Mus musculus: one gene and its partner. The protein of the gene in region 2 interacts with the protein of the main gene of each other region in a biochemical or structural test. Links are inferred from orthologs where the notes say so. Each region holds a gene or a part of one and is shown on either strand. Other genes may lie near its edges.

Region 1 (4,477 bases), on a different chromosome or scaffold from region 2:
TACCTCCTCTCTGCTGTGGTGTGGAAGCATACGGGCATACCTCCTCTCTGCTGTGGTGTACACAGGATACACACTGGGAATTCATTCCACGTGAGAGGAAAGGCAATAAGGCAAAGGTCCCCTGTTTCTGTTGCATTCACCTAAATACCGCGTTATTGCTCGGCTCACACTGAAGTACTTATTTGCCTTCATTTAGAAACATTCCACTTGACAGCTATCTACAGATGGGCAGCCCCCCCCCCCCGTGCTTCCGTTGATCTTTCGAATCTGTCACTGCAACGTCAAACAAACGCAGGAAAGAAAGAGCATTGTTCCGGTTTTCAGAACAGCCCAGCAGCCCACACTTGCTGGCCTTGCAGAAAACATCAATTTAAAAACACTACTGCTAACAATAATAATAATAATAATAAAGAGATCTGAAGTCTAAGTAATTAAAAATCAAACTTATTTTGCTTAAGTAAATAGGCTATAAGTGAGGAAATAGAATCAACAAGAAAAATAAATGTTCAAATCACTAAAAACTCTACTAGGTAACTCTTTGGTTAGGTTATACAAGTATTAGCAACTAAGTTTAGGACTCAAAATAGCTCGATAGACTTCCAGCTGAAGATGGGTCTTCTACTAATCTTGATAAAATCTAAGTTTACACGTACTGTTTCATATTTTTTTAAATGCGCACATACTCAAATGGATTATACAAACTTCCAACTTTCAAATAATAAATGAGCATGTCCCCCTCCTCCCTCCCGCCCTTCCTCCCATCTTTCCTCCCTCCCCAACCCTCCCACAGTCCTAGACCTAAGTAAGGGCTGACTGTCCCTACTAACCACTCCTGCGTTACTGGGTCACTGCCAGGTGACTTCTAGAAGCGCTGCCTCCCGCTCCCTGCCTGCTCCTAGCCTAGAAGCCTTAACCAACAAAACCTAAAGCTCGGCAAACAGCTGAAGAGAAAGGGCGCCTCCGCAGGCAGGAGGATTGCTTTCTACAATTTTAAGCCACAGGAGATCTAATGTGTTGGGGGTAAATAGAACTCTCCCCTGTTGCCAGTACTAGAATTTACTTCTACCTGTAACTTTAAAAACAAACAAAAAAATCTCTTTATTTACAGTCTCTGAACTGCGTCCTTGGGGTCTTCCAGCATACGGTCTACCATTCAATTGTCTAAAACTCTCTTTCTAATGAGGGTCAAATCTCTAACAACCTTTTAAAGCACTCTCTCCACACAGCACTCTCAGTTCTGATCTCTGAAACCGCTATGGAGTCAAAGGGTTTAAGATGTCAAGGACTCGTCCGAACTGCACGCCGGACACCGTGCAATCCGATTCTGATCAATTCAGTCATTCCCAGGTACTTGGTGACTGTCCCACTAGATCACGACAATCTGGGGGAAGGGTGGTTGGAGGCCAGGAGTAGAGGAAGCATGAGTGAAGGGCTACATCAGAACACTCTCTCGGCTAGTGGGGTCCAAAGATGATGAAGACGCCCAGAGGATTTGTGGCTGCAGATTCGCAAGTGGGGTGCAGACGGGTCTGGGTGACCTACTAGGAGATCTGGGGGTGGGGGCAGAAGGAATCGGGAAACAGGGAGGAAGCGAGGGCATCTATAATCCTGTCCCCCGAGGGGAGGAAGGGAAGTGGGCACCGGAGTGGCGAGGGGCGGGCGTGGGGAGCTCACTCCCTGCAGAAGACGTACTCGGTGTAGCTGGTCCAGATCTTGTCCTCGCTCTGGTCGGTGCTGCTAGCAAAAGCGCAGGTGCCCGTGGAGCTGCACGCCACCATGTGGAAGCCCGACTCGGACAGCTTATCGAAGGCCTGCTCTAGGAAGTTGAACTTGAGGTAATAGCGGGAGGTGTAGCGCTCCGGGGGCCGGTCGGGGTCCCGGCTCTCATTCAGGGTGTCCCCAAACACCTCCTTGGCCAGCGACGTCTTGCCGCACACGGTGATGCGCGCCACCCGCCGGAACTTGGCGTCCGCCTGAGCGTCGCGCCCGATGGTGTAGGAGCCGCGGTAGCCGATGGTGATGTAGCCGGAGCGCCGGCTGCCGTCCAAAGACTGGGACGGCGTGAGCAGGGGCCCCGCCGCGCCCCCGGACGGGCTGCGGCTAGCCAGCTCCAGCGTGGGCGAAGGCGCCCCGGCCGAGGCGCCCTCCTGCGGCTCGGGCTCTGCGTAGCCCAGCGGCAGCAGCTCATCGCCCAGAGAGCCCTCCTTGTGCACCCCGCGGCGCGAGTGCGGCGGCGGTGGCCCCGGACCGGGTTGCTGGGGCGCCCCGAGGCGACGCACGAGCTCCGGCAGCTCGAAGTACTCGGCCTCGCGCTGCAGCCGGCTGCGCTCCGGGAAGTAGTCGGGCAGCACGAGCTGCAAGTCCCGCAGGTAATCCAGGATGTAGCGGAAGAGGAAGCCGTCCCGGTCCAGAAAGAAGCGGCCTTTGCTGTCCCGGGCCAGCTCCTGCGGCTGCTGCTGCGTGAACATACGCCAGAGCAGCGAGTCGGGCACGGACACCACGGTGCAGCGCCGGGTCACATACACCTGCCCTCCCACGTTCAGCTCTACGATGTCCGGGAAGAGCGGCGGCTCCGCCGAGGACGACGACGAGCCGCTGCCACCTCCGCCTCCGCCCCCGTTGGGTAATCCTCGGGTGCTGTCCGCCAGAGCCATGGCCAAAAAGAGGTGGCCCGGATGGGCCAAGTGGCAGGGAGCGGGGTCGCGATCGGAAGCCCCAGCGGCTCTTATCGGGGAGCCCTGCGCTCAGGCGGCGGCCGGCCACTGAGAGCCGCGCGGTGCGAGCGCGCAGCAGTGCGCCCACGAGAGCCCCGGTGCGCTGCGCCTGCCTCGCCCGCGCGCTCCAGGCGAGTGGCGGGTCGCGGCCCGCGCGCCGCTTAAGTAGAGCCGCCCGCTTGGGCGGCGCGGCGCGCAGGAGGCGGTGGGCGGCTGCGGAGCCGCTGAGCTCGCTCCCGGGGCGGGGAGGGCTGGGGCGGGGTGGGGGTGGGGGAGGAGCGGGGAATGCATTTGCATGCTAAACGCTGACGCGGCTCGGGGCTGCAGGCTCCACCCTGACCCGCGCGCTCCGGGGGACGACCGGACTGTCACCGCCCGTCCGCCCACCCGCTCCGGGCCCAGCTCCTCTTCCTCTTCCGCAGTGGGTCAGAGCCTCCAGGCGCTTCTCCAGGAGGCTGATCACTAAAGCGATCCTCTTGTGTTCCCACCTCCCCTCCCGCCGCCCTTCTCGGCTGACCGCAGCCGGCACCCGGGGACTCCAGAAGGGGTTGGAAACTTTCTGGCAGAGTGGAAAAGCTTGATTGCCTGCGGCTAGCGCCCTCTAGACCTACCCGCTTCTAACAGTGCAGAGCGCTGCTGTTGGAGATCCATCCCCGGGTCTCTGGAAGTTCTGAAGAGACACTAACTTGGAAAGGATGCACCGGTCCCTTCAAGTCCAGACCACCCAAAGGTTTTTCACGTGACTATGTGACTAGCGTATAGCCTCGAAAAATCCCTAGAAACCACAAGCGAATGCTTCGCGAAAATGCTCTGTTAGATTATTTTGCGAGAGCATAAAGTCTTTGGTTAGGAAACCACAACACAGTACTGCAGTGAGCAGAAATGACTAGGAGAGGAAGTTGGGTGGACACAAAGGGGGGGGGAGGGGCTTACACTGCGTGGGCAAGAAAAGCTAATAAGCGCCTCCAATAGTGGGACGTGAGGCCTCCGGTTGCTTTCAGCCATCTGTAAATCGCACCAGAAAATTCCAATCTAATATTTTCTTTTATTCGTATTATTAGTATTTAATGATTTTACTAGTATTTCATTATTTTACTAAAATTCCGCTGATGTTTTATTTGTTCCTTGAAATGTTAATGCACGTATAGAAAATAATTTACTTTTAGCCCATGCATAACTGTTCTAAAGGTCCAGTAACCCGTGTTCTCCTCCTCCCTCCATCGTTCTCTTCTGTACTTTACAAGACCGTCCACCAGAGAAGAAAGGCTGTGTAGGTCTGAAGGCCCTTCAGATTTAGCCATGCTCTCTATGGACTCCTACTTGTTCAGCGTTTGGAGTCATGCACAAATTTCAGCCCACAGAATTCTGCCACTGCCGGGAAACCTTCCATGGTCTCCCAGGGGAATGAGACAGGTTGCTCTTCAAATTCCCATCTTTGCACTTGGCACGTTCTGAAATCTCAAATTTGTGGTCTGTTATCTGATCGTTGGTTTTTGGTGAATAAATAGATAAGGGCTTCAAGAAGCCCAAGATAGAGGAGACTCTGAAAAACCACAATTTTAATAAATGCTCTTATACGTTGCTGGGCATCAGGCTGTGGAGAATTCAAGGCTGACTACCTACATCTCCTTTAGAGCAGCCAAGAGGCAAAGGGTTGGCCATCTGAACAGTTATCAGATCACTTTGAAGGACAGGCTGTCAATCACAATAAGCCCAGAAAGATCTTTGTCTTAATAATGATGTCTACCCTTTGTGCGACTGTC
Region 2 (3,809 bases):
CCACTCTGGGGAAGCTTATCTTTGTACTCTCTTACCATGCTGAGCATTGGGGGGGTGGGTATGGGGGTCCTCCTTGCAGATACTCCCAAGTTTTGTCTCTTTTTGAACACATTGGGGACTGTTGGACTCTGTCTAGGCCAATTGGCGCTAAGTTTGGGTCGGATGTGCTAAGCTCCCTGTTGCCATGACCCGGGCTGTTCTAGAGGACTATGGAGCAGGGATTGTTTGGAGACCAGGTAGAGGGAAGGGACAGGAGGATCGGAGGTCTCCAGCTGTGGACGTACCTCTGTGATCTTCATTCGTAGGCGGTGGTTTTCTGACTGCAGTCCCTCCAGGCGTGACGTGCTCGCCTGGTTCACGCTGGTGACTGAGGTGGAGGTCTTCGAATCTTCTTTCTTCTGGTTCTGTGTGAACTGGAATCGCCTGTTCTGAGTGGCTGCGTCAGGGTTTGTCCTCAGAGTGATGAGCTGAAGGGACAGAGGCGGCTTGCAGTGAGACTCCTGCCACTCTTCTCTCTCTCCAATCATGTTCCCCCACCAAGTCCTACATGGGAACTGACAGGGTCCCCCATCCCGGAAGGAGGCAGGCTGGGGCTCAGGAGCCCCAGGCCCTTGTTGGGCCCTGGCACAGGCTTGGGCATGAAGGGGGGACAGGCAGCTTCCCAGTCACTGAGCCTCAGAGTCCTTCTGGGATAGGAGAGTCAGCCTTCTGACTCTGGATCATTCACACCCTACCAGGACAGAGGCAGCCCAAGGCATTGGGCAGGATCCCACTGTGGAGAATTTCTACAACAAAGAGATAGAGGACAGGGAAGACTGCTCACACCATGGTGCGTTTAGAGACTAGCTGTTGACCTGTTTGTCCTGGCAAAGGCACTTAGCATCTTAAAACCCCTCACATCTGTTATCCTATAGGTTCTGTGGGGTAGGGGTCTGGACATGACTGAGCAGTTAAAAGTGATTTTTATTTTACTTTTAATGATGTGTCTATGTGCGCGTATACATGGGGTGGTTATGTGAGTGCATGCAATGCAGGTGGATGTGGAGACCAGCAGAGGGAGTTGGGTCCTCCGGAGCTGTAGTTAGGTGTAGTTGTGAGACACCTGACGGCATGCTGGGCACTGAGCCTGGACCCTCTGCAACAGCAATTTGGATTGCTAACTACCATAGCACCTTCCCAGCCCCATTGGGAAAATCTGAGACAAAAAAGTTGCCCCAAGACTCCAATCTTATCCACACATTCTAGAACCTTCTCTCGACCATGGTGGGCTCTAGGCTTAGCCCTGGAGACCAGGAGCGGAGTTTCCACAGCCTCCATTGGGACTCCTTAGCCTTGGGTGTGGGTGTGAAGAAGAGCTTCATTGTCATCCAGCCAGAAGGAATTAGGGATGCAGTAGCCATCAGGACCTGCTGTGCTGTGGGGGTGGGGGGTGGAGTGGTGGATGGGGGTGGGGTAGGGAGTCAGGGTAGGGGGGCAGTGGTCTGGAAGGGATGGTGGAGAAGGGAGATCCAGCACAGGCAAAGGACCTTAGGTGAGGGCTATCATCATCATCATCGTCATCATCATCATCATCATCATCATCATCACTACCATTATTATGTTTATCATCATGTGAGCACACAGCAAGGCATGCATGTGAGGCTCAGAGAACAGCTTTGTGGGGCTGGTTTTTTTTCTTTGCATCTCTATGTGGTTCAGGTTGTCAGCTCTTTGTGGTAAGGGCTTTAGCCTCTGACTCATCCTGCCAGCTTTTCTTTTCTTTTTCTAAAATATTCAATTTTTAAAAGATTTATATATATCTGAGGTCAGGCTGCACGGGTCCCCGAGAGGTTAAGGCTTCTTTATTCATGGCTGCAAAGAATAATGCTTGCAAAATATCTCTTCAAGTCGGTCCTCGCGATTGGTGTGACAGCCATATCCAACAGGGGACATGTGGCTGCTGAGAGCGCCGGAGGCCGCCCAACATGCAACCGTAAGCTTACTTGAAACTACGCCCTTTTCAGTGTGATTCTTAAAAAGGCAGTGGAGTTAAAAATTGGTTCTTGGGCATGAGCTCTGCAGAAGACAACATCTCGTCACCACGTCAAAAGTGTGATGCGCTTGCATTGTAAGATGTGGGTGGACACTCAGAGGGGCTGCTCCTTCTGACCCAATAATGCCACATCTAAGGCTGTCTACAGCACATGAGTGGGAACAAAAGAATGTGCTATGCAGAGAAAAATGTTCCTTAAAAATATCTACAATGGGAGCATTCAGCAATAAGGGATCGAGTGGATATTGAAGGCAACGGCCCCACCCTCATAATTCAGGTGGGTTTGGGAAAGGATGACGGGTGGGGAGCCAAGCAAAAGATGCAAAGGGAAAGAATGAGTAAGACCAGAGATGCAGTAAGACCAGAGATGGCTCGGTGGTTAGGAGAACCCAGGGCTCCTGCAGAGGACCCAGGTTTGATTCCCAGCACCCACATGGTTCACAACCCTCTCTAATTCCAGACCCAGGACTTCTGACCTCTGAGGGCACCAAGCATGCACACATTGCATATACATACATACATACATACATACATACATACATACATACATACATGCAAAATAGTTATATACATAAATTAACAAATTAATAAAATCCTCAAACTAAAAAAGCAAAAGCAAACCAAAAATGAAGACCGAGGTCTGGCAAGATGGCTTAGCAAGGAAAGGTGACTGCCACCAAGTCTCTGCTGCTCTGGGTTCGAGCCCCAGAACTTACCTGGCGGAGGGAGAGAACTGACTTCAGCAGGTTGTCTTCTGACAACGCATGCTATGGCAGTCCTGAACCCTCTCTTCCCCTTGTAAAATAAAACTTAAACATGTGAATTTAAAAGATCAACAGGAAACACATCAGGAGCGCCCAAACAAACATTAATAGTTTGTTAATTTGGGGTTGATGAGTTTGTGAAGTTTCTGGGGTCCTTGCTCTTCTCTTCCTCCTTCCTTCCTTCCTTCTTTCTTTTTTCTCTCTTTCTTTTTCTTTCTCTCTTCCTCTCTTTTTAGACAGGTCCTGGCTTTCCTGGAACTCACTCTGTAGACCAGGCTGGCCTTGAACTCAGGGACCCGCCTGCCTCTGCCTCCTGAGCACTGGAATTAAGCTGTGCACCGCCACTGATCTCTTCCCTTTCTTTCCTAATTTATTTTCTTTCTCTGTGTGAGGCGTGTTTTGGTGTACATATTTTTAATCTATATGCACAAGTGTGTGTGGGTGCAAGTGCACATGTGTGCACTTGCATATGGGGCCCCAAGTTGCATCCCTAGGGAATGCAGACTGGGGGTGCATCAGGCCCCCAGTTCTTCACCCTCACAACTGGTTTCCTGCAGAGGCCAGACCTTAACAAAGGGTATCTTTATAATTTTTTTCCAAACCTGGATTTCACCAATTCAGCAAGACTGGCTGGCCAGTGAGCTCAAGGATCTCCCTTTGCCTCCCCTGGGCTGCTAAGATGATGGGCATGCCATATGTAGCATGTTTTAAAACTTAACTTCCTTATCATCGAACTCGGATTTTATGCTTGCATGGATTGGAAGAGATTAAGGTAGTTCTCACGGGACAAAAGCCAGTCATGGTAGTGGTGCCTACTTGCAACTCCAGTGCTAGGAAGGCAGAGGCAGTTGACTCTTTGGAGCACTCTGGCCAGCCAGTGATAATTCATTTCTCAAAAATAAAGCAGGTGGAATCTGAATAACAATGCTAGAGGCTGTCCCCTGGCCTCTACCTGTGCACATGTACTTGTGTGTAGGTATACACAAATGCACTTGCACATGCATGCACACACA

Evidence for each region.
Region 1: the proteins of Gabbr2 (region 2) and Kctd12 form a complex in vitro, tested with the Homo sapiens proteins (2 studies listed by BioGRID). The link is inferred for Mus musculus from reciprocal best matches to the Homo sapiens genes GABBR2 and KCTD12.

The regions. Positions count from the first base shown.
Region 1 is NC_000080.6:102,979,787-102,984,263, forward strand, and holds the start of Kctd12 (BTB/POZ domain-containing protein KCTD12), read right to left. Parts: upstream 2,852-4,477; 5' UTR 2,655-2,851; coding exon 1,671-2,654; 3' UTR 1-1,670. UniProt on the Homo sapiens protein: Auxiliary subunit of GABA-B receptors that determine the pharmacology and kinetics of the receptor response. Increases agonist potency and markedly alter the G-protein signaling of the receptors by accelerating onset and promoting desensitization.
Region 2 is NC_000070.6:46,677,186-46,680,994, forward strand, and holds part of Gabbr2 (gamma-aminobutyric acid type B receptor subunit 2 precursor), read right to left. Parts: intron 468-3,809; coding exon 285-467; intron 1-284. UniProt on the Homo sapiens protein: Component of a heterodimeric G-protein coupled receptor for GABA, formed by GABBR1 and GABBR2. Within the heterodimeric GABA receptor, only GABBR1 seems to bind agonists, while GABBR2 mediates coupling to G proteins.